2 linked regions of the Stegostoma tigrinum genome follow. The protein of the gene in region 1 purifies or fractionates together with the protein of each later gene. This does not show direct contact. Links are inferred from orthologs where the notes say so. Each region holds a gene or a part of one and is shown in the gene's direction. Other genes may lie near its edges.

What was found.
Region 2: the proteins of UDP-N-acetylglucosamine--peptide N-acetylglucosaminyltransferase 110 kDa subunit (region 1) and death-inducer obliterator 1-like purify together in Homo sapiens (affinity purification with mass spectrometry; 3 studies listed by BioGRID and IntAct, with this or other methods). This does not show direct contact. The link is inferred for Stegostoma tigrinum from reciprocal best matches to the Homo sapiens genes OGT and DIDO1.

The regions. Positions count from the first base shown.
Region 1 is NC_081368.1:40,712,928-40,726,321, reverse strand, and holds the start of UDP-N-acetylglucosamine--peptide N-acetylglucosaminyltransferase 110 kDa subunit, read left to right. Parts: upstream 1-8,625; 5' UTR 8,626-8,965; coding exon 8,966-9,002; intron 9,003-13,394. UniProt on the Homo sapiens protein: Catalyzes the transfer of a single N-acetylglucosamine from UDP-GlcNAc to a serine or threonine residue in cytoplasmic and nuclear proteins resulting in their modification with a beta-linked N-acetylglucosamine (O-GlcNAc).
Region 2 is NC_081372.1:5,456,860-5,469,520, forward strand, and holds the start of death-inducer obliterator 1-like, read left to right. Parts: upstream 1-6,877; 5' UTR 6,878-7,043; intron 7,044-12,661. UniProt on the Homo sapiens protein: Putative transcription factor, weakly pro-apoptotic when overexpressed. Tumor suppressor. Required for early embryonic stem cell development.

The DNA.
Region 1 (13,394 bases):
GCTACCCAAATGATAAGCTTAAGTTTCAACTTTGGACTCTTATCCCATCCTTACTAAATGTGTTCATTTAGAAAATTATACCCCCAAAGTTCTGGCAAGGAAAAGCCAATAGAAAATTAGATAACTGATAAATTGTTATTTAGCATTTTTATACAGGTTCATTTATTTGGATGGATAGAATTAAGATTTCAATCAACTGTGTTTTCATTGATGGAAAGAATAAGGTTGAGGAGGAGAATGGCCTGTTTTTGTTCTGGAACACGCAAGGGCATGTCAACAATTAGAATGTATTTAGATCACAAGATATAAAGTAATTAGATATGTAATGAATAACACAAATAGTAAACAAGACAGAGAGGGGATGGGATAAGAGTCCAAAGTTTCATCTCAAAACTCAGTTCTCGTGGTAGGTGAATCAAGGTTTTACATAATCATCATCATCATCTGACAGAGCTAGGTATATAATAAAAGAATTGCAGATGCTGGATATCTGTAGCAAAAACAGTGCTGGAAAAACTCCAAGTCTGGCAGTATCTCAGGAGAGAAGAGAGTTTCAGAGATAGTAGGAACTGCAGATGCTGGAGAATCTGAGATAACAAGGTGTAGAGCTGGATGAACTCAGCAGGTCAAGCAGCATCAGAGGAGCAGGAAAGCTGACATTTCGGGCCGAGACCCACCCCAGTGCTCTCCCCACCTTCAGTGATGGTATTTGTGCCGATTTGGTGTGTGGGGGGAGGAGGCAAAGGGAGAACTGAGAGTGAGTCAACCAGATAGTAGAGAGAGGGAAATAAAGGGAGTCAAAAGAATTACTGATGTTGGAAAATACAGAAATACTGAATGGGTGCCAATGGCAAATATGAATGGCTGAAAATGGTGGCTGTTCTGGGTGCAACCAAGACAGAACAGCACTAGGGGGTGTAAAGGGTGGATAATGAACATGGACGAAGGTATTCTCACTCTGAAATTATTAAACTTGACATTGAGTCCTTAGGGCTTAAGGTACCTCAGCAGAATAAGGTGTGTTCCTGTAGCTTGCATTGAGCTTCTCTAGAGCACTGCAACAGGCTGAGACCAAAATGTTAGTATGGGAACACTGTGCTGTGTTAAACTGACAAAGAGCTGGAAATTTGGGGTCATTTCTGTCTTGTCCATCCCTCGCAAGATTAACAAGACAATAATCTCATCTCTGCCAACTATTTGGTTTCGAGGCACCAGCCCATGAGGCACTTTTGTTACTAATTCATCAATAACTTTAACCTTATCAATATTTATTCGTATCTAAAGCAACATCTTGCAGCTTTTTTATTTTTCAGTTCCTTTAAAAATAGCAGTCATACCACATTCTTCATGTTACAGGCTTGGAAGTAAGATCTGAGTAAGTTCAGTTGAACTTTGATTACCGCAAACAAGCTGTGTGCTCATTGTTACAAGTTGATAGGAATTCCAAATTTATAAGTACAGATTCAGTATGTTGCATTTTCCTTATGCTGCTCTTCTTCAGGCATTTGCTTCTTTGTCAATTATTTGTATTTATGTACATCACCTCCTCCTTCATCAGGAATCATGTAGTTCATAGATGCATTTGAAAAGACTGGAGGGAATCGTTTACAAGGAGTATTCCAGTTTTCCATCCCGTGACAGTGCTTTTGGACATAATTTCTCAACAGCCTATCACTCATTTTAAGACTATACCCCTTGGACATCCTCCACCTGAATAAGTATTTTATCAACTAGTAATCACCAAGCAGATCATCACTTTCATTCTAGAATATAAGACTCAGTTTAGAATGTATCCTCATTATTTAATGCTTTTATCATTGTGTTGTTAAGAAAACTAGCTATGTGAATTTTTAGATGTTTAATATCTTCCATGTTATCCTTAACTTGTTGCATGCCTGTTAGGATTGTTTAATTTTAATCAACCTATTTATGCAATTAATTCAATTTTGATTTTTACTTTTACCCTTTTGATATTAATTTGTGCTCTCCATGATCCACTTGAAAGATTTCTACTCTGAACCACTGGGCCATCGCTAATTTTTCTGCCCATTAATTTGAAAAGACCCCTTCCTATCATATTAAACTTTGCCTTTCTTCAAATATGCTGTAATCTTTGAGTGTGTATTATCCTTTTGAATGGAACTACGTTATGATTATTAAACCACAGTTCTCCTACTGTCATGTCAATTAGTTTTTCCCCTGAAATTCTCCAAAACTGAATTGAAATAAATACATACTGATCAAGCAACAGTCATATATTCATTCTAAAATATTTTCCTCATTACAATCTACGTTATCTTTATTGCTTGAGCATAACTAAATCTTCCAAACTTTATTCTATGGTATGTGTTTGGATCATTAACAATGTACAATTTCCCTACATATTTTCTGAACTCTGTCTTAGAACAACTGTGTATTTCAGTGCTGTTCCAGAATGTTTTATTAAACTGCCATCTTACCTCACTTGCTTCATTTCCAGCTCTCCTAAGAATGTTTTAAGCAATACAGTATTAAGGTTATAAATTGGTTCAACCTTAAGTCACATCCCTGTTATGGATACTATATCATGTCTCTCCATAGATACTGTAATTTCTGACTTACTGTGTTTTGCATTCACATGTGTATAATTCAGTTTTGGCTCTTGAATTACTGGAATCTTCAGCCTTGTGTATTTTTCTGCTGTGTTAAGTTTTATATATCAGTACAATTGATTGCTTCTCTTTCTACTCTGACCCCATTTACATTTAATTAAGTCATGCCTTTCATTTCAAAAGCTTTAATAATCAATCATCCTCTTTAGTTCTAAATCAGGTTACCCCAGATCCTACTGTATTAGATGCTCCTTTTGGCTGTTGTTTCAGGACTTTGATGGAGTTTTAGTTCAAGTGATGACTGTTCCCTGTGTACAACTTTCATTTGCTTCACAGTTTGGTTCAATAGTGCAAGCACTCAATCCTCTACATAGTCAGAAGTCACACAATACCAGGTTATAGTCCAATAGGTTTATTTGAAATCACAAGCTTTCAAAGCGCTGCTTCTTCTTCAGGTGGATCCTTCTACATCATTCGCACTACAGCCACGTATTTTTTCTAATCTTCTCTTCTAACCTTCCAGTCTGTAGTGTGCAGAGAGCAATCCAAAGACTATCATCCATGATGTCAAGGTACTGTATACCACCTTGAATGTTTACCTCTTGCACTGTAAAATTTTGATTCCATGCTGATCATCAAAGTTGACCTTTTTTAAGACTGCTGATTGACAAGATCTTGTCTGAAACATTAAACCATTTTTCTGTCAGATCGTAATTGGCCTGTATTTCTAGAAATGCATTTTTCAGATTTCTGGTATTGGCTAAAATGTCTCTAAATTGTTCATTGACAACAAATGTAAAGAAAGTATGGACTCGGAATGCAGCTTTTATCTGGATATAACCTCTTTAAGTTACATCACAATATTATTTATTTCAATTCCTGTTCTTCTTGGATATTTTATATTGTCACTCCACTGTAGATTCTAGGGTCTAGTGTGTTTGATCTTAAAACACATTCATGGAATGTTGGCATCACTGGACAGCATTTATTGTCCATCTCTAATTGCCCTTGAAAAGGTGGTGGTGAGTTGCTCTCTTGAAATAATATTCAATAACACTGTTAGGGAGGGACAGGCAGGATTTTTTTAAAGCAGCACTGAAGAAATAGTGATGTATCTCCAATTCAGGATGATGGAGTGACTTGAAGGATAACTTGGAGGTTGTGGGCTTTCCATATACTTTATTACCTTTTTGTTTATCTTCATACTTGTATACCTGGGTAGCACCAGTGACAGCAGTGTGGCTGAACAGTTTAGAGAAATAATGATTACACTCATCCTTAGTTATATGCTACTCTCAAATCTGTGTACACATGAAGTTGGTCCCAAACCCCATCATCATCTTAAATAAAACAAAGAACTGCAAATGCTGAAGATCAAAAACAATTACAGAATTTGTTGGAGAAATTCAGCAGGTCTGGCAGCATCTTAGGAGAGAAAGCAGAGTGAACGTTTTAAGCCCAGTGACCCTCCTTTCTGTTTTTGTTTCTCTTTTTTCTCTCTGATTCACCCTGTCTGGCCATCTTGGTATACAGGACAGTTAAATAAAGTTGTATCTGTGATATCTGTTGTCTGTGTCCTTAACCCTGCAAACAATGAAAGTTTGTTGCGTTTCATTGTTAACATAAATGACAGGTTTTTTTGTCCATATGACATTTGGAAAATGCTTATATTGGGATTAGTGCATCCCTTCAAAATTTCAGCACAAACATTTGGCACTGATGCTGAGGTTTCACTCAGAAATCTAATATACAATTTTGCTTCAGCCTGCAACTAATAATACACCGTAGGAGTGGTGCAAAGAAGAATTACTGCTATGCTGAATTCATCTCTGCTTACCTTGAATCTGTCCTCCCGACCCCCCCCCCCCCCAAAAAAAACACCTCATCTTCGGTGTGGTCATCCAGTCCCTATACACTTTTATCCCCCACACAGATGACCTAAAAGTCCTCTGCTTCTTCATCTCCCGCAGGCCCAACTAGTCCCCCTCATGGGCCCAAGCTATGCCTGCTTTTTCATAGGATACATGGAACAGTCCCTTTTCCACTGTTACATTGGCACTATCCCACCCCCTTCCTCTGCTACATAGGTGACTGTATTGTGCTGCCTCATGCTCCCACAAGTAGTTCAGAAAATTTATTCACACCTTTCACCTGAACCTCAAATTTACCTGGTCCATCTTCCCTCTCCATCCTGGACCCCTCTGTCTCCATTTCTGCCTCGAAATTGACATGTATTTCAAGCCCAATGAATCCCATGGCTATCTAGACTACACCACCTCTCACCCACCCTCCTGCAAGAGTGCAAACCCTACTCCCAATTCCTCTGCATCTACTCCCAAGATGGAGTGTTCCACTCCCAAACATCCCAGATGTCTTCCAATTTCAAGGCCCGCAACATCTCCACCCCAGGCCCCCCCACCCCCCGTGATCAAAAATGCCATCAACTGCATCTCTCACATTTCCTGGACTTCTGCCCTCAAAACCCCTCCCCCCTCTCCCAACAAAAATACAGAATTCCCCCTTCTCCTCACCTATCAGCCCACCAACCTCCACATCCAGTGTATCACGTTCCACCACTTCTGCCACCTACAATCTGACTCCACAACCAAAGAGATATTTCCCTCCCCACCCCATCTGCTTTTTGTGAGGATCGCTCACTGCAGCTCACTCGTCTACTCCACATTACCCACTAACCCCACACACCTGGCACCTTTCCCTGCAACTGCAGGAACTCCTGCACCTGCCCTAAACCTCCATTCAAGGCCCAAAACAAACCTTTCATATCAGACAGAGGTTCACCTGTACTTCTGTCAACTTGGTCTAATGTATCCATGGCTCCCGCTGTGGCCTTCTGTACGTCACAGACCATTTCGTAGAGCATCTGCACGCTGTACGTGACAAATGACAACACCTTCCAGTCACCAACCATTTTAACTCCCCTTCCCACTGAAATGTCCATCCTGAACCACCTCCAGTGTCACAATGACACTATCCACAAACTGGAGGAGCAACACCTCATTTCACCTTGGGAGCCTTACAGCCCAATGGCCTAAACACAGAATTCACCAGTTTTAAAATCTCCCCACCCCAGGCTTCAAGCCATGTCTGACCCTCCCTCTCATCCCTGCTGCCTTGACCTGACACAACCTGTCCACCTTCTCTCCCACCTAGCCACCACTCCCTACCTACACTCACCTATCACCATCCCACCTACCTTCCCCAGCCCAATCGTCCTCTCTATCTATTTCCCAGCTCCCTTCCCCCTCCCCATTTCTGAAGAAAACATCAACTTTCCTGCTCCTCTGCTGCCTGGCCTGCTGTGTTCCCTCAACTCCACACTGTGTTATCTCTGACTCCATCATCTGCGGTTCTTGCTATCTCTGTTACTCCTACACTAAACTCTTCGCTGCCGTTCACTGTTGTTTTGTCTGTACCAGCAGGAAAGAGTGAGGGACCATAAGCAAGCACAGCAGTAGGGATAAGTTAAAGAGAGGGTAAATGCTAGTAAACACTGTCCAGACTCCACCTGCAGCTACTCGATTACATACAGAGCTGATCAGTCAGTGTTTAATTTAAAATTCAACATATTTTACTTGTTGACCATACTCAATTTGTGCTGCCCTTGCAGATGCATCAAAATATGTTCCCTCAGAAAATGTCATTATTTGTCATGGATTTCACAAAGTCCAAGTACATAGTTAAATGTCGTGAGCCTGGTTTGGACTTAGCAAATTGAATGCAAGAAGGTTGATTCAGGTTCAAAGAATTGAAGATAGAGTGAAAATAAATCACTGATTTGCTTTGTACTTAATTGATGGGTCAAATGACAGCATTCTCTGAATACTTGGCAGATTTGGGAGTAGTAGGGAGAGAGAGTCAGTGTATGAGAATGATAACCTGTTATCACAGCGTGTAACATGCAATTCCTACATATGTCTGTATCCCATAATGACAGCCTACAAGGCCTCAGTTTTTTTCCTCTCAAACAGACCCATCCAGACCCCTCCTCTGCCTAGCCGAACTAGTTCTTAACCTAAATAACTTTTCCTTCAATTCTTCACACTTTCTCCAAATCCACAGGAGTGTTGCATAGGCCTCAGCTGCTGCTGCCTCTTTGTCGGTTATGTTGAACAGTCCCTCTTCAGTACATACACCGGTACTGTTCCCCAATTCTTCCACTGCTACATCAATGACTGCATCGGTGCTACGTCCTGCACTTGGTGAACTGGAGCAGTTCATTGACTTCGCAAACAACTTCCACCCAGCCCTTAAATTCACTTGGTCCATCTCAGATACCTCCCTCCCATTTCTCAACCTCTCAGTTTCCATTTCTGGCATGTTTACGGACTGACATTGACTATAAATCCACAGACTCTCACAGCTACCTCGACTGCACCATCTCCTATCTGTATCCTGCAAAAACTCCATCCCGTTTGCCCAATTCCTCTGTCTCCATTTTATGTGCTTTGATGAGATGTTCCATTCCCAAGCATCCAGGATGTTGTCTTTTTTCAAGTAATGTTCTTTTCCCCACTCTCATCCAGATAGCCCTCCACCTTGTTGCCTCCATTCGCCGCTCCACAGCTTTAAACCACCACCTCCCAAAACATCATAAAAATAGGGTTTCCCATGTCCTCACTTTCCACCCCAAGAGCCTCTGCATCCAACATATCATGCTGAAACACTTCCGTCAACTCCAATTAGATCCCACCATCCAAAAAATCTTACATTCCTCACCCCTCTCTGCCTTCCGCAAGGACCATTCCCTTTGCCGCTCCTTAGTTCACACCACACTGCTCACTAACCACCCCAAACCCTGCCCCAGTACCTTCACCTATGACTGTAAAAGATGCAACACCTGTAAACACCACCTCCTTCACCTCCAGCCAGAGCCCTAAACAGTCTCTTCCAACCTAGTCTACTGCATCCGGTGCTCCCAATGTCGTCTTCTTTAAATCGATAAGACTAAATGTAGCCTAGGTGACTGTTTCACCGAGCATCTTGACCTAGCCTATAACGGTCAACCTAACCAGCCAGTCACCATCCACTTCAACTGCCCACTCCTGTCCTACTCTGACGTGCTTTCTCTACCTCCTTTGGTGTCACAATTCAGAAAGCAAATCTGAGGAACACCATTTTATCTTCTGCCAGGGCACCTACAACCTAGAGGACTGAACACGGTTCTCTAATTTCAAGTAACCCTCCCACCCATCTCCTGCCACCTCTCTTCCAACCACTAACTGCTTTGAACCCTCCCATTAACAAACTAGGTCACACCTACTACTACTGCCCATCTATCACCACCAGTTGGCTGGACCCACACCCCCACCCCCACCCCACCCACGCCCCCACCACATTTAGTCACGTGTAAGATAAAATAATACCAACATGATTTAAGAAAACTTATTATTTCATTATAAATTATCAGCGATCACAAGAAATTTCGTACCAAAATCACTTATGTTAAGACCCTGCTTTTAACATTATAAGGCAATATAAATATAGGAATTAGTGGGCAAAATAATTTGTCACATCCACTCAAATAACAATCTTTTTTATAACATGCTTCGCATCGCTTCAGGCCTTGACGTTGCATTTATACTCATACGCTGAACAAGAGCGACGAGCGACATACTATAACTGCTTAATTTTAAAATAAAACACTTTTATGTTTCATCACACCCTTTAAGGCCACGTGGCTCTTAGTTAACTATCACTAATTCTTAAGATAGTCACGATCATCGTTCCAGGAACTCACGTGAACATTCTCGACTTTTCCACAGAATGGTTTTTAAGCGCATGCGCTTCCATCCCCACAGCCGCCGCAATGCTGATGCGCAGTGATACCCTATTGTGATTCATTGATGAGTGCAGTACACGTTTTAATGTCTGGTCCTTCCGCGAGAGTCCTATGAATTTGGAAAGCTGTCCGAATTTGAAATATCTAAAGGAATATGCGTAATGACAACTCAATAAAGTTACAAAGCTCTTCCGATAAGACTTGCGAATTATGTCGTTTCTGGAATTGTGATCGGGTTTTTATGAGTAGAGAGACTCTTTGACGCGAAAGTAGTCCCGATTAGAATTCTCATTCCGGGCGCCATCTGCACACCAGAGAGAAGAGAAACTGAGTTGACGGCCGACAAACGCGCGATGTTCATTAGCAGCAGTAAATATTTCTTTTTGTGAAATTTCACACAAACTGTGGTGACGAAGGCAAATTGACGTGAGGTTGCCGCGATCGACTGCGTTAGAATATTCAGGCCTCGGCACTCAGCCATCGATTGACTGGGACAGTGACACAAGCGAAACCCAGTTAAAACCTGCCCCGAAAGAGGAAGCGGCTTGGATTGAGCTGCACCCCGAACGAGAGCATGGCGGCGTCGGTTGGGGGTGTAACAGACAGCACAGGTGAGAAACATAGAAGGGGAGTATCGATGCAGATTCGGCTGGTACCATTTGATTGTTATGAAATGAAACCCGAGATTTGAAGTAGAGTGGAGCAGTTCCGTCAGTACAAATCCGGTTGAATCCCCGGAAGAGAAGGAAACGCGTAGGAAAAGCATGAGGCCGACTTGCATTTTTCCCCCCGCTGTCCTGTGTGGGATGTTACGACCCAGATTACTTAGTTGAGAGTACTGCTATTATTGTGTATGAGAACCGGTCAGATTAGTGTTCCTTTGGATATTGTTTATCACAATGATGCATACACAAAGGTATTCATGCGTAAAGAAACCAAGTCAATGGAGGAAGGAAAAAAACCTGGCTGGTGAGTTTCGGTGAGATCAGTGTCATGAAAGCGTAATTAATCCAGCGCAGAAATCGTAACATGGATCAGTACAACTGGGTATGTTGGCCTATTGGCCTAAGGATTTTTGAAGCGGCCAATCAAGTTTCAATATACTTTGGCACTTTTGAACAGTCTCTTGTTATTTGCTAACTTTTAAGCATAAATGATTTTAATTAAAATTTGACTTACTTTATCAATAAGCATAGAGTCTGTAAAATCACACATCATCCGGATGAAGGGTTTAGGCCCGAAACGTCAGCTTTTGTGCTCCTGAGATGCTGCTTGGCCTGCGGTGTTCATCCAGCGTCATGCTTTGTTATCTTAGTCACTGTGTGTGCTTGGTCCGTATTCTTCCAAACATTTCGTATTCATGTACTGACCCAGGTGGCTTTTAAACACTAACTGTATCTGCATCCATCTACTTCTTCTAAAAGGTCATTCATGCATGAACCAATCTGGGGGAGGGGAAGGGGGAGAAATAGCCCTTCATGTCTTTTATTTTTAACCTTTCTCCTCTCGTCTTAAAAATGTGACCCCCCCCAGTCTTGAAATCCCCTGGCTTAGGGAAAAGACAAGTTGCAATTCACTTCCTCTGTGCCCTCATGATTTTATAAACTTCTGTATGGTTCCCCCCCCCCCTCACCACCTGTGGTAAAATGGTAAAAAGGTAAAAAATCATAGCTTATTCAGCCTCTCCAATAACTTAAACCTCTGTTCCTGGGAATGCACTGGTAAATCTCTTCTGAACCAACTCCAGCTTAATAATATCCTTCCGAGAATGGGGAGACCAGAACTGGCACAGTACTCCAGAAGAGGCCTCACCAACATCCTGTACAATCTCAACATGACATCCCAATACCTATATGTGAAAGGTCTGAGTGATGAAAGCAACCATGCTATATATCTTCCCAATCACTTTATTTATGTGATGCAAACTTCAAAGAATTATGTACCTGAACCCCTAGGTGTCTCTGTTCTGCAATGCTGCTACTTGGCCCTACTTTGAATTGTATAAGCACTGCCCTTGTTTGTTTTAGCAAGATGCAAAGTCTCACATTTATCCCGCTTAAACTCCAGCTGTCATTCTTCATCCCATTGTCCTAAGTGACTAAGAGCTCTTCGTGACTTAGATAGCAAGTGACCACTACAATACCAATCTGGGTGTCATCTGCTAATGTAGTAGGCTGCTTCCTATATTCTCATTTAATCATTAACAAACAGAAGTGGACCAAGCATCAATCCCTACGGAAAAGGGCTGGTCATAGGTCTCCCATCCGTGAAATGTCCCTCTGTCTGATGTTAAACGAATTTTGTATCCAATTGGCAAGCTCACCCTGAATCCCACATTATCTAACTTCACTAATAGCTGAGCATATGGTCAGATAAATAAATGATCGTGGTGTGAGTGCACAAATGGGGTGGAAAAGGGAGAGTTTGCTACCGTCAGCATTATTCAGCTGTACACAGGGTTAAATGGGATTAGTATCTATTGGTAAATGTAATTCAGCATCATGGGGCTCAGTGGGTAAACACTTTACCTCACTGTACCAGAAACCTGGGTTTGATTTCAGCCTTGGATGACTGAATGTTGAATTTGCATGTTCTCCCATGTCTGCATGGGTTTCTGTCAGGCCCCACAGTCCACAGATATGCAGGCTAGGTGGCTCAGGTGTGGTAAATGTGGGATTATGAGCACAGGGTGGGGTGCTGTTCAGAGGGTTGATGCAGACTTATTGGACTGAATGGCCACTTTCCACATTGTGGATATTCTATCACTCTTAATGTAGAGGCAACATTTCCTGACAGTGTATTTTTAGACAGCAAGGTAGTCATGTAGATACAAAAATGTCATGTTTAGGATTTTCCGCTCCAGAGATTAAAACCATAAGACAGAGGAAGAGAATTTAGGCCGTTCAGCCTATCGAGTCTGCTCTGCCATTCAACCATGGCGGATAAATTCCTCACCCCAATCTCCTGTTTTCTCCCTGTAACCCTTGATCCTCTTGATAATCAAGAACCTGCCTATTGCAGCCTTAAATGTACTCAGTGATTTGGCCTCCACAGCCTTCCGTGGCAGTGAATTCCAGAGGTTCACCACTCTCTGGCTGAAGAAGTTTCTCCTTATCTCTGTTCTAAAAGGTTTTCCGTTTACTCCAAGGCTGTGCCCTTGGATCCTAGTCACCCCTACCAATGAAAGCATGTTCCCAACGTCCACTCTATCCAGGCCATTCAGCATTCTTAAATTTTAGGATTAGGATTGCAGAATGTACTTGCGTCTAAACTTGCAATCAGGTCTTTATCTCCCCGGAATGTTTTTGCTGTTTGCCAAAGCATGGTTTAGTGGTTAATGCCTTATGCTGCTATTTTTCTGATAGCTAAATTCAGAACACATGGATGAAAAATGGCTGTCTACGTATTTAGATATGAGTGCATTGTACTTGAATTTGCTGAACCTTTCCTGGCACCCATATACTGGTACTTCTAGTGCAAATTGATTAGTGTTTGAGGTTCCAGCTCTCATCAATTTTCCTTTCCTTACTTGAGGGGTTTCTAAATTGGACAGGGACCAGGGATAACATTTGGCACTTAATTAAAGTGCTTCAATGCCAAACTTCTTCTTGTTCTATTAACCTGATTGCTTGTTGGCCCCAATCACATAATTAGTCTAAATGCCATTTTTATCTGGGTGCTTGCAACTATGCTTTTCCTTTATGTATCAGAGTACAGTATTTTGAAGGGAAGTAGAACAGTAGTACTCTTGTTACATTTGGAAAGCCAGGGTGTTCAACATCGTCATTATGCATGATAACTAGTATCAGTTACATGTCATTGGGTGCAGATTGAAGACATGTCTAAATGTCTTGCTGTTTAAAAAAAAATTTAATGAAGCTTTCATTTTGCACCCAGGACAATTTTAAGGTTAACCAAAAGTAAAAGAAAATCAGCTTGTACAGAGGGGTTATTACAGACATCTGGAGAAGGTGGGACTTGAACCCATTTCCTGGCCTGGGCATGGGGACACCACTATTTCACTGCAACAACCCCCAGAACATCACTTGCTGAATGAGAGGAGAGTACTGATTAATTGGAAGTGAACTTTGATTATTGGGGATGGTGCCATTGGTGAATTAGTCCTCTGTTAATCATTCATCACACTCAGAAAAAATATTGTTTTGGTAATCTTGACAGATTGTCATGTGAGTTAAAGATGAAAAGCTTTGGCAGTTTTTATCTAGAAGTATGCCTGAATCGAAGAAGAACATTCAGTATGACAGAATATATTGATATCTTAAAGCACCAGGGGTCTTTCATAGAGCATTATTTACTATTATCATTCTTTGGGTACCTCACCCTGCTATCTTTTTAACAATTATCTTGAAATTGCCCACAAAGTCTTTCTAGCTGTGTCTTGAGGTGCAATAGTTGTATTGCAGAAATAGAAAATAATAGCAGTTGTAGGCCCTTTAAACATCGCCTTCATTCAATGTGGCCATGATTGATCGTCCACTTCACCACTATACTCCGTTTTCTCCTCATTCTTTGATTTCATTATCTCTGAGAACTGTATCTAACTCCCTAGTGAAAACTTTTAATGTTCCAGTCTCAACTGCTTTCTGCAACAGAGAATTCCCCAGGCTCTCAATTTTGAAGAAATTTCCCCTCATCTCAGTACTGAATGGGTGTGCAAACTGGCAGTGGCTTCCCACACATTTGCCATAACAATATGGGGAACGTAGCATAAACAGAAAGAATGATACTGTTTTCTGCAACAAAATGTTTATTCATTCACAGGATGGTGGCATCACTGGCTAGGTAGCATGTTATTGCCCAGAGGGCAGTTAAGAGTCACCCACATTGCTGTGTGTTTAGAGTCTCTCACAGGCCAGTCCAGGTAAGAATGGTAGTCTCCTTTATTAAAGGACATTAATGAGCTACATGGGTTTTTCCAGCAATTGATAAGGGACTCATAATCATCATCTTGTTAATTCAAATTTCACCATCTGCCCATGGGA
Region 2 (12,661 bases), on another chromosome or scaffold:
AAGAGAATTATCTTGGGTGGATGATACAGAAATGTATAGGGTTTTAAGTGGTTAAAATAGAGGCGAGAGGGGAAAAAACAACAAAGAAACATCTGTGAAGAGCAGAAGATGGGAGACATTAAAAAAAAGGAGCCTATTATGCAGGACCAAAGGGAATAATAATGGAATTAAAGAAATGACAGATGTGTCTGAAGTAGATGTGACTGTAAAAATAAGTAAAACAAGATTAAGATCTAAACAGTTAAAGGAAAGAAAACAAATTAAGGCAAAGAATACAGTCTTAAGTTGTTCACCTCATTGTTGAATTTGACAGGCTGCAAAGTGACTCAATGATAGATTAGGTGCCATTCTTTGAGCTTGTGTTGAACGTTCTTGTTCTTTCTGTAATGCAGTATACTAGAGAGGTCACCATGAGAGCAAAGTGGAGAATTAAAATTGCAGGCCATTAGAGGTTCAGTATCATGCTTGTAGACGAAATTGAATTTTCTACAAAATGATCATTTGCATTTTGTTTCCCCAGTGTGGAAGAGATTGCATTGTGAGCAGTTAATACGTTGTTCTATAATAAAAGAAGTACATATAAATCACTATCATCTGGAAGTAGGGCCTGATCTCGGGTCTCGAATATTGCCGATAGAGAAGATGGCAGCGTGTTTCCTCCTGCTTCTTCATCTACTGAGAAAGAAAAGAACAACAAATTAAGCAGTCATAAGTAGCCTGGCTTAAGCATATATTTTTACTTGTTTATAGTTTAGCATTCAGTAGTTAAAATAGATCCTTCCCACTGGATTCTCATGGCAGCTAGAGATAGGAATAATTTTGCTAGCATCACTCAGATCTCAAGACCTAGAATTTTGTCCATTCCCCTTCCGTTGATCTACATTCGATTGTTTAATAAAATTGAGCCAATACAAAATGTGGCATCAGTGTACTATAAATGTCAAACCAGCTAGAGCTCCATATTTCAAAATTTAATAATGGAGTGGCCCAAACCATTAAAGTGTTTCCTCAACTCTAGGACTGTTGACTCTTGCTGACATGACTCATTACATCAATAGATGCTTCTTAGCAACTTCCCAACTAATGTGGTTTTTTCCAATTCCTCGCCAATTCCTGTTCTTAATAGATAATTGAAATCTCTCAACAGCATCACTTTTGATTGATCGGCCATCTTATTGAATTTATTAGAAAAACTATGTCTAAAGGTTTTGCAAACATTTAGCATTTCCAAAGTGTAATTGTGATTGTTTTTGTTGTAATTAACATGCATATGAGATAAATTGCCTCCAGGTCATTATCTGATTCAGTTGGCTTGTCACAGCAGTAACACTTGTATAATATGTCTCACTACAAAATAACTTCTAAGAGTTCAGGGAGTGAAATATTCAGAATATCCTGGTCCATCAAAAGAATGTACATGAAGAAATTGTAATAAAGCACAGAAATTTTGAGAGATCTAAGACCTTCCATCAGCTGTGGGAGATTGTGATGAAGCATCAATAACAATGCAGGTTAACTTCTTTGGATCATCCATCAGTAGCTACTTCTACACAAAAAGCTACCATTGTGACTTTTTCCTCTTTTTTTTCTCCTTACTAGCTCACTGATCACTTTTTTTATTCTGGATTCTATTTTTATTTAAATGTCTTTGACCCTCTCTGATTTTTTTTTGCTTTCAAGTAATCCACATCCTTGGCTATGAACTCACTTAAATCTATTTCTGCTTTTCAGTACCCACCTTTTGTGGCCTTTGTGCATTGATATTGATGGTTCCCTGACTAGTTCCTTGTTTTTCATGACACACTCATTCCCTGTTCCATCTGAATTCATTATTTTTACCATTTGTCCTCGAGTGAGAATACTTCTCCTAGTTCCTATTTTTCTGCTTGCATCCAGTATAACATCTCAGTTGTTGTTGATGACTTAGAACCAAAGCTTCCATCTCTAATACCTTTGTTTCAGTAAAATCCCTCACTGATTTCCAATTCTACCATTTCTGGATGCAATCCCATCTTGGTAGCCTCAAATCAGAGGGCCATAAAATCAAGTCCGCGATACATCTTCCTCACCTTTATAGAAAATTATCTCCTTTTTCCTGTATGCAAACTTTGCAGTGTCCCAACTGCTGTAGCTCCAGACTGCTGCTACTACTTTTTCTAATTTTCTCATCTCTCCAGACTCATTTTCAATGACACCCACTTAATGATACCCTCTCGTCCACACAACTTTTCCTTGTGGTAGCTGATATTGTTAATGACTTCTGCTTTTTAGCTGCATCAACTGCTGTCATCTTTTCCTAATTGAAAAATATATTGTAGATCTATGCATCCTGTAACGAAATACAAAACTTCTAATCAATCCATAATTATTCAAAGATGATAGGAACTGCAGATGCTGGAGAATCCAAGATAACAAAGTGTAGAGCTGGTTGAACACAGCAGGCCAAGCAGCATCTTAGGAGTGGGAAAGCTGACGTTTCTGACGAAGGGTCTAGGCCTGAAACATCAGCTTTCCTGCTCGGCCTGCTGTGTTCATCCAGCTCTACACCTTGTTATCCATAATTATTCAAAGCCGTGTGAGATCAATTTTGATCGAGAAGTGATTCAAGGGGTGCAAATAAGCAAAATTGGAGTTTAGACCAATACCACATCATTCTCCTTCATGATCTTATTGAACGGTGAACCATGCTCAAATAGCCAAATGAGCTACTGCTGCCCCAAAATTCTATGTTCCTATAAACTCAATGTGCCATTGCGTTCTCTTCCTTTACTGGAGCCATGAATGACATTGGGTTGTATTCTTTGGAGCAGAAAAGGTTAAGGGGGATCCTGATAGAGGCATATAAGATTATTAGGGGCATGTACAGGGTGAATAGAAAAAAGGAGTTTTCTTTAGTTGCGGGGTCTGTAACGAGGAGGCATAATTTTAAAATGAAGGGCAGGCGGTTAAGAGAGAATTTGAGGAAAACTTTCACTGCCTGGAAGGATAGCTGAAGTGAGAGACTCACAATCTTTTAAAAAGTATTTGGATGAGTGCTTGAAATGCCGTCATGCTCAAGGCTTTGAGCCTAGTGCAGGAATGTGGGATTATTGTTGGTTGGTGGTAGTATATCTTTGGCCTCTTTTGTCCTGTATGATTCTATGAAACATAAGGAGTAATGTTTATCTTTAACATCTCCAAATAGTTGACCACACCATTCTGTAATTCCCAACAATTCCATTGCTCAGATTCATTGGACTTCCTTTACATGTTTATATGTCCATCTCCTAAGGTATAATCTCTATCATTCTACACAAAAAGCTATCATTGTGACTTTCTCCTCCTCTTTTTTTTCTTCTTACTATCCATCAACATCATGCCTGAAGGCTGTCTTGCCACTCACCTGTCCTCTTCAATCACTTGTCTAGGATGTTTGCACCAATCTCTGCAGCTTCATCCTATTGCTTTCCATTGCATCATAATGTAAGCGTTCAGGCTATTGTGAATATGCAGTTTTGTGAATCTGTTTTAAGAGTTTAGCTTTCATATTCTAAGTGGAAGAAACAAAACCTGGACTGAGAAGATGGTAAACAAGGCATGGAGTTAATTGCAGGTCAAAGAAAGGTTCCATATTTATGTGCTAAATACACATTTAGAAGTGATTAACACTTCATAATGGTTGACCTCCTCGTGTCTAGATGAAAATTATGGGTTTCCAGCTGCCTCCTTCACAGGGTATAAATTATTAATGTGTTTTCCAGATTCGAAGGGATTTTTTTGAAGGTAAAATTTAGTTCATTTGGATCTTTAACTGGAACACCTCAGGTATGCCAAGTTGCTATGGAAATTGGTTATGCAGGATGCACTCTTTTCTTTGGATTTACTTGTGTGTTATCTCTCAGGAACATGTCATTGGCTGATTGGGGTCAAATTTAAGACAGGTAATTGAAAACCGGTCAACAACTGTGAAGAACCAATGGATTAGTAGGTAGAGGGCTAATAGAAACCAAGGTAGTTTCTGATGGAGAGATAGTCTGAACTGCTGATGCTGGAGAATCTGCAATAATAAGGTGTAGAGCTGGATGAACGCAGCAGTCCAAGCAGCATCAGAGGAGCAGGAAAACTGATGTTTTGAGTCTGAACACTTCATCAGAAATTCAGTTTTCTGAAGAAGGATCCAGACACGAAATGTCAGCTTTCTCACTCTTCTGATCCTGATTGGCCTGCTGTGTTCATCCAGCTCCACACCTTGTTATCTTAGTTTCTGATGGAGTTGCTGTTTTCTGTCAGAAATAGCTAGTACACTTGGGAGCATTTATAACATCGATGGTTGAAGACTGTCAGGAGAAGTAAAGAAGCTATGGACCAGTAGCAGTAGGCAACTGGAAATCAAAGGTATTTTTCTGATGGAGTCATGAAGTAAATATGCAGGGATTTCTGCACTTCAGGTGAGGTGTCCACAATTATGAGGTGCTTGGGGAAGAGTTGAAAAGTTACAAAACCAGATTCTGTTGGAAGAACTCATGAAATCTCATACGTCAAGGGAATCAAAGTGAATTCCTGAATGTTGTGGTTTGGTTTGGCCTTGGGAGATCTGAAGGAACAGCAAGATCCTCTAAAGTACAGAGAAATTCTTGGGTGAAATTAAATAATCAGGCAGTGATCAGTTGAGATTTTCAGACTGAAAGAAAAAGGCTTTATCCCAATATAAACCTGGATTTGCACATTGTTTCAGTATTTCAGCAGGTCTGACACATCAATGAAGAGAAAAACAGAATTATCATCGGGTTCAATAAAACTTTTCAGGGCGGCACAGTGGGTCAGTGGTTAGCACTGCTGCCTCACAGTCCCAGGGATCCAGGCTCAATTCCACCCTTGGGTGACTGTGTGGAGTTTGCACATTCTCCCAGTGTTTGCATGCATTTCCTCCAGGTGCTCCGGTTTCCTCCCACAGCCTGAAGATATGCAGGTTGGGATGGATTGGACATGAAAAATTGCCCATTGTGTTGAGAGATATATAGATTAGGTGGGTTATAGGGGGATGGGTCTGGGTGGGATGCTCTGAGAGTTGGTGTGGACCAGTTGCGCTGAAGGGCCTGTTTCTACTCTGTAGGGATTCTATGAACTCAGAAGCTGTTGCCACACCTACTGAATTTCTTCAGCATTTTGTTGTTATTTCAGATCCTCAGCATCCACAAGATACTGCTTATATTTTGTCCAGCATTTTTTTCCTACTCCAATTGGTAAGAGTCTGTAAGGTCATGGTGGCCATTTTTAGTAGTACCTATTTTGACAGCTGAGAAAGCTTTGTGAAGGTCAACATGAATACTTTACTGTTGCATACCTTTAAACCCGTGCATTTGTCCAAATGCCATTCTAGACCACTTATCATTTGGAAGATGGATAAGAGTCAGATAAAATTAGATTGGTTAGAGAATAGACTTCATACCATTATTTTTGCCATTTGAAAGTAAACCTTAGACAGAAAGCTTAAGTAGTTTCTGACTTCTAAGAAGAAATTTTTATTTAGCATTTGCTAAATTTCAGTTTTTAATACTTAAAACTATCCTTTGAGAAAATATAATGCAAACATTCATTTTCTTCAAATTCAAGATTTTGAGATATTTCAGGTATTCTTTCATGTTAATACATTACCCGACTTTCTTTTAAGACTTTCTACCAGTACTTGGAAACTGAACAGGAAGTGAGGTTGCCAGGTGGAGTGAAGCATTTTTCTTAATATTGCAAAAATGGGATTTATGTTTAGAATTCGAGTAGGTGCCAAAATATCAATAAATGTATGAGAAAGCACATAAAGAATTCTAAGAGCAGAACCCCATGGAAACTAAATCTTTTAAATGATGTTGCTTCTGCTTTAATATATGCAGTAAAAGTAATTAAATATTGGTGGTATTTCCAGCTTTATTTATGGTGTATATATATATATATCGATATAGATCCAAACTAATTTCTTGTAATAAGGCCTGGATGATGGCAATGATGATATCACTAGACTAGTTATCCAGAGGCCCAGGTATATGATATGGGGAATGCCATTGTTGGACTGAAATGGACAAAATCAGAAGTTAAATGACACCAGATTCTAGTCCAACAGGTTTATTTGAAATCACAAGTTTTCAGAGCTTTGCTCCTAAAGGAGCATACTATAACCTGGTGTCGCCTGAGTTCTGACTGTCCAGAGATATGAGTTCAATCCCATGTTTGCATTCAGTTACTTTCTGTGGAAAGTAAAACTGGCCATCAGCATTTGTATCAGTGATAATGGGAACTGCAGATGCTGGAGAATCCAAGATAATAAAGTGTGAAGCTGCATGAACACAGCAGGCCAAGCAGCATCTCAGGAGCACAAAAGCTGACGTTTCGGGCCGAGACCCTTCATCAGAGAGCCCGAAACGTCAGCTTTTGTGCTCCTGAGATGCTGCTTGGCCTTCTGTGTTCGTCCAGCCTCACATTTTATCATCATCAGCATTTGTAACCATGATGATTACCATTGATTGTTGTTACCAAATTCGATTACCAAATTCTTTCGGGAATGAAGCTATTCTGTTGGCCTACGTGTGACTGCAGACCAGTGCAATGTGGTTAACTCTCAATTGCCCCCTGAAGTGGCATTTGGAAGCTACTAGGGCAACGGGGAATGGGTATCCCACGAAAGAATAAAGGGAAAAATAAATATCTAGTGTTGCACGTGTGATACAGTCATGGCAACTATTTTAGAAGCTGCTGGCAGTAGTTTCTACAATATTATGCTATTGGTAGGCAAAAGGGAAAAGATGTGATGCATATACGTGTAACCTTAGGTACAACGAGGGACTGTGCAGCTTGCAGCGTTGCGCTGGGCTTGACCCCGCCCCTCGGTCACATGGGCTGGTGTCACGTGGGGTGTTCGCAATGGCGCCGTCTCTCTGGCGGAGCCTATTCTCGGATTGAGGGGACACTGCCAGCCGCGTGTCGGTTTTGACCCGGGACCAGGCTAACGCAGTTGTTAGCCCGGAGTGTCGTGGACAAACAAAAGACACAAACTATCTACAGCCCTTTACCCCGTGAGTAGCGCTGCGCATTTGGTGGCCCGTGTCAAGGCGCTGGGAGTTAGGCCCCAGGGTGCACGGTAGGCCGCGAGAAAACTCGATGTTCGAACGGCCTGAGCTGCTTTGTTCCCGGACCTGGAACGTCTGTATGGCCAACTCTGAACCTGCGAAGACGGTTCTTCCGTATTGTTGGTGGCTCGGCCCCTCCGGTGCGCGGGTTTAGCAAGGCTGAACCGTTGGAATAAACCATCCGCTGTTCCAGTCAACCTCTCTCCCCCCCCCCCCCCGTTTAAGTCTCTGTGGGATGGTATATCTGCTTTACAGCCTTTACGTTTTACTTATCTCGGATTAATCCATAGCTCATAATGCGGGAGTGAATCGGATTAAATATATGCTACGTGCAGATATGATGAGGGACGTTTAGTTTGCGCTTGGCCCTGTTGGACGTGGGTTTGGGTTATATTACACCAGTAGGAAGCTGTCAAAGGATATATGTACCACGTCCCGGAATTTGACATGAACATTTAGGCAAATACTTCTAGAGATTTACATAAACAACTGAAGATTGTCTCTTTACTCCTTTCCTGAAACTGACTTTAGGTTACTGAGTCTGATGAACCAATTCATGTGCTGATAATAGGAAAATAGTAGCCAAATTTAAAAAAAACTCAGCAGGGAGCACCTGTGCAGCAAAAAAATCACGTTGACTGACTTATCAGCATGTGTGCGCAAATACAAGCTTGAGGAATTGGTGAAAACGACAAATGATCTTCAGCTCAATAAAAAGAGGCATATGGTAGGGAGCCAAGAAAATTATGGCTAACTTTTACTCAAACAATTTGAAATGTTTCCAGTTCTGGGCATCATACTTTGGGATTTGAGGGATTTCAGTTCCATGGGATTGATTAGAGCTAGGATGTGCACCTAGGTTTGAGAAGAGACTTGATAGAGCTGTCCAAAAGTATGGATTGTGCAGACAATTGACAGAAGGAAATGGTCCCTATTGATAGAAGACTTGAGAACTGGAGGGTGCAGATTTAGGCAACAAGAGGCAAAATAATGTAAATGCAGTGAGTGGTTAGGACCTGGAAGACAGGCTAGAAGCAAACTCAAACATTTTTTTTCAAAAGGGATTTGCATGAACACTTGAGAAGTGAGATATTGCAGGGCTACAGTTTAAACAAAAGCCAGTGTGAGACTAGCTGACCTGAGAGCTGCCTTGTACATGGTGGGCTGAATTGCCTCCTGTGTCGTAAATTCTGATTTGACTCGTGACTATTATTGGAGACTTTCAGTTCTAGCTCTCCTGCTCCTATGCTGCTTGGTCTGCTGTGTTCATCCAGCTCTACACCTTGTTATCTCATATCCTCCAGCATCTGCAATTCCTACTATCTCTGAAATAATGTGTTTATAATTGTTGTAGTTGTAGGAATTAAATATTTTGGACAGCAAAAGTATTTTCTAGGACTGGCTTGAAATATGCAGTAATTCTGGACCCTTGGGACATGGTTTATGTAGTCTCTCCCCAATTTTCAATTCAATGTAATATAGTATATTTGTTGAAACTGCTACATTTCCATGAATATCATGATTCAAGTATATACGTGCAACTAAATTATTCGCACATATACTTGCCCATAACAACTATTTAGATCAGCTGGCCATACCTAGAAAAGAGCAGTGGCTTAAGGGTTTAAATTATGTTTAATTATTTCTTCCGCAATACTAGATACTGTACCACCTCCTGGTATATCACCTAATCTGTCAACTGAAACTGTTTTTCAGTAATTTAAATTTCAGGTAACTGTTTCACTGATCCATTTATTAGTGTACCACAGTGTGGTAAAAATGCAGCAGCATGATTGCTATGACTAGTACAGTGAGATTTTTACTCCCTAGTCAAGTTTCACATGAGCAATAATGGTACCTAACTCCATTTCAATACCAACTCACTCAACCGCTCAACTAAAAAATGAAACATGGAAACAAAACAGAAGTCACTGGAAAAGCTCAGTAGGTCTGGCAGCATCTGTGAAGAAAAAAAACTGAGTTAATGTTTTGGGTCTGGTGACTTTTTCTCAGAACTGATGGTGACTGGGAAAACGTCAGTTTATATGCAGAAAAAAAGGGGAAAAGAATGGGGTAGGGAGTAAATAATCAGATAGAGCCTAAAGAAAGAGAGAAGAGCCGTTCGACAGAGTTGATAATGATCAGGCTGGGAGGGTGAATAGATGTTAATGGGGACTATTAATGACTAATAACAGGTAGCGTGTCATGGCAGGCTCTGGTAACAGGGCCTGGTGTGTGGGGTTGGGGGCTGGGACGTGGGAGAGTTTTTAGGTCCTAAAATTATTGAACTCAATTGAATCTGGAGGGTTGCAGGGTCCCCATGTAGAAAATCAGGCGTTCTTCTAGTTTGCAACGAGCTTTGCTAGAACACTGCAGCAAGCCAGCGACAGACATGTTGGTCAGGGAACAGGGTGGTGCATTAAGGTGGCAGGTGACGGCTAGTTTAGGATCTTTTTTGTGAGCAGAACGTAGATGTTCTGTGAAGCGGTCACCTAGTATATGCATTGTTTCCCCACTGTAGAGGAGACCACATTGTGAGAGGCGAATGCAGTAGACTAGATTCTGGGAAGTGCAGGTGGAGTGTTGCTTAGAGCCCTTGGATACTGGGGAGGGAGGAGGTAAATGGGCAGGTGTTGTACCTTCCATGCTTACAGGGAAAAGGTGTCATAGGGCTGTGGGGGGGATGTTGGGGCTGAAGGAATTATGGACTGGGGTGTCCTGGAGGGAACAGCCCCTGTGGAAGGCAGACAAGGAGACAAGCTCTCAACTACTTCATTTGCAATTTTTTTTTCATTCATTCATGGAATGTGACTAAGAATTAATTGCCTTCAATAATATAATGGTGACCTGCCTTTTTGAACTGCCGCAGTCAGGGGTAAGTAGGCCCGCAGTGCCTTTTAGGGAGGGTTTTTCAGGATTTTGATCTCATGACACTGAAGGAGCAGCAACGTACCTCCAAGCAAAGGTGGTGAGCGGCACAGAGGGCTGATTGCAGGTGGAGGTGTTCCCATGTATCTGCTGGCCTTTCCCTTTTGGTTAGTAGTGGTCATCAGTGTGGAAGGTGCTGCAAAAGAAGCCTTGGTGAATTTCTTCAGTGCATCTCATTGACAGTACACACTTACTGAACATTGATGGAGGCTGATGAAGCAGAGATTGAGTTGATTGTTATAGAGATGCAGCCGCCTGGTCTTGGTGATGGCACAGATAATTAGAAGCTCAACTTTGTAATTCTAGTGTTATGTTTGTTACTAAGTTGTTTATGCCTCAGATTGTTGCCACAGAGGGATTGACATCAGTGGCTTTGACTCCCTGCTATTTAGGTGGAGGAAAGTCCTGTTCGATCAAGTTGCTGACCACTAACATTCCCGAAGTTTGTTTAAGTACCACGTGCTTCAGAAGGATAATGTGGTGGTATGGTAGCAGTGCACTCGCTGTTTGTACTACTTCTGTAAAATTCTGAGATAACAAGGTGTAGAGCTGGATGAACACAGCAGGCCGAGCAGCATCATAGCAGCAGGAAAGCTGACGTTTCGGTCTAGGCCCGAAACGTCAGCTTTCCTGCTGCTATGATGCTGCTTGGCCTGCTGTGTTCATCCAGCTCTACACCTTGTTATCTCAGAATCTCCAGCATCTGCAGTCCCTACTATCTCTGTAAAATTCTGCTGTGTTGTATTTTGATTTAATAGCGAATGAAATTGAGATTGTTTAATGTGGCTGTGATAGTGATTTGCTGTAATATGTTAGCGTTGTTTTGCTCCAGTCGTCATCCAGTACTGAAAATCTAATGTTATATTAAATTACATTTGGACCTTAAATGGGGAAAATGCACACACTCGTCCTTATGATGCAGTAATATGGTTGTGATAGTTGATAAGATTCTGGCTGCTGTCTGTGAATCTTAACCTTGCAGGTATTTCTTTACTGTGTCAATGTGATATTGTGGAGAATATGTTTGGTTGCTACTAGAAGCAGAAGTTCAGCTAGCAGACAGTCTTAAACTTAGTGACAAATTCAAATTGGTGTAGATTGGAACTTTGACTGTCCTAATTGCAGTGTCTACCTGTATGTTTGATATTTTTTAAATTCAAGATTTTCTCCAGTGCCATTTCTCCCACTTATTTCCTTTATGTATGGTGTGAGTTTTGGATTTTAGTACACTTATTTTTTCTGGCAGTTTGTGTGATGTATGTACAGGAAGGGCTAGACTTATGTCCTGTGGTGTTTAGAAGAGTCAGAGGTGACTTCATTGGAACACAGGATACCAAGGGAACTTGATTGGATGAATGTGGAAAGGATGTTTCCTCTTGTGGAATGGTCCTGACTTGGAAATGCAAACTTTCCTGCTCCTCTGTTGCCTGGCTTGCTGTGTTCCTGCAGCTCCATACTGTGTTGTCTCTGACTCTGGCACCTGCTGTTCTTGCTATCTCTAGAACTAGGGTTTATAGCTTAAAAATAAAGGGTTGCCAATTTGAGTCAGATGAGGAGAAACAAAATTTCTCCTTGACAGTTGAATGTCTTTGAAATTCCCTTTCTCAAAGGGCAGTGGATTCAGGACCTTTAAATATTTTAAAGGCAGAGGTAGATGGATTCTTGATAACCAAGGAAATGGAAAATTATTGGGGCTATTCAGGAATGTAAAGTTGAAATTAAAATCATATCAGCCATGATCTTACTGAATGGCAGAGCAGGCTCAAAGGGCCACATGGCCGACTCTTGTTTAAATGTTAATATACTGTCAAAGCCACTTTGTACGCTGTGCAGAGAATTTCATGTTAGTTGTTTGAACTCCGACTGTGATTTCAAAATTCTTGTGTTGTAGCTGCTTTGGTTCAGTTGCTTCCAAATAAAAAGTATTTTTGCCATCTTATTATATTCTGGTCTTTTCCACTTGAGTCCAATTGTTGCATCATTATTCAAAACTGCTTGAAATAATGAACGCAAGGCCAAGAATACATGTTATGCTCTTACTGTTCAAAATAATAAAAAGTTGTCTTTTGTTGACGGGTCTATTCATGCGATTGTGCACTTGCCACATGTTGGGCTTAGTCATACAGCGCAGAAACAGATCCTTCGGCCCCATTTGTCCTTGTCGACTGATTTCCTAAACTGAACTAGTCCCATTTGCCTGCGTTTAGCCCATACGCCTCTATATTGTTCCTAGTTATGCACTTGTCCACATGTCTTCCTCAGGAACTCTTAAGTGCTCATGGTATCTGGGAAGGGAGCATATGACTGTCATGCCCAACAGGTAAGGGTTAACCTACACAGTTCATGACTAGTACATTTCAAACTCCTTTTAAATTTATTTTAAATCCTTAGGATTTCTAATAGTGGTATATTCCATATATTTAATGAAATTAGTGCTGGTTTTACATTTATCATTCCTTTTGTCTCTCCTGTTAAGTATGGAGTTCATTGGTATAAGTAAGGAAATAATACTTATGTTGCGTATGGATTGATAAGATCAGTCACCTTTAGAGTGAAACCAGGAAGTGCTGACAATACTGAACTGGTCTTGCAGTATCTGTAGAGAGAGAAAGTAAGTTAACATTTTGAGTCCAATA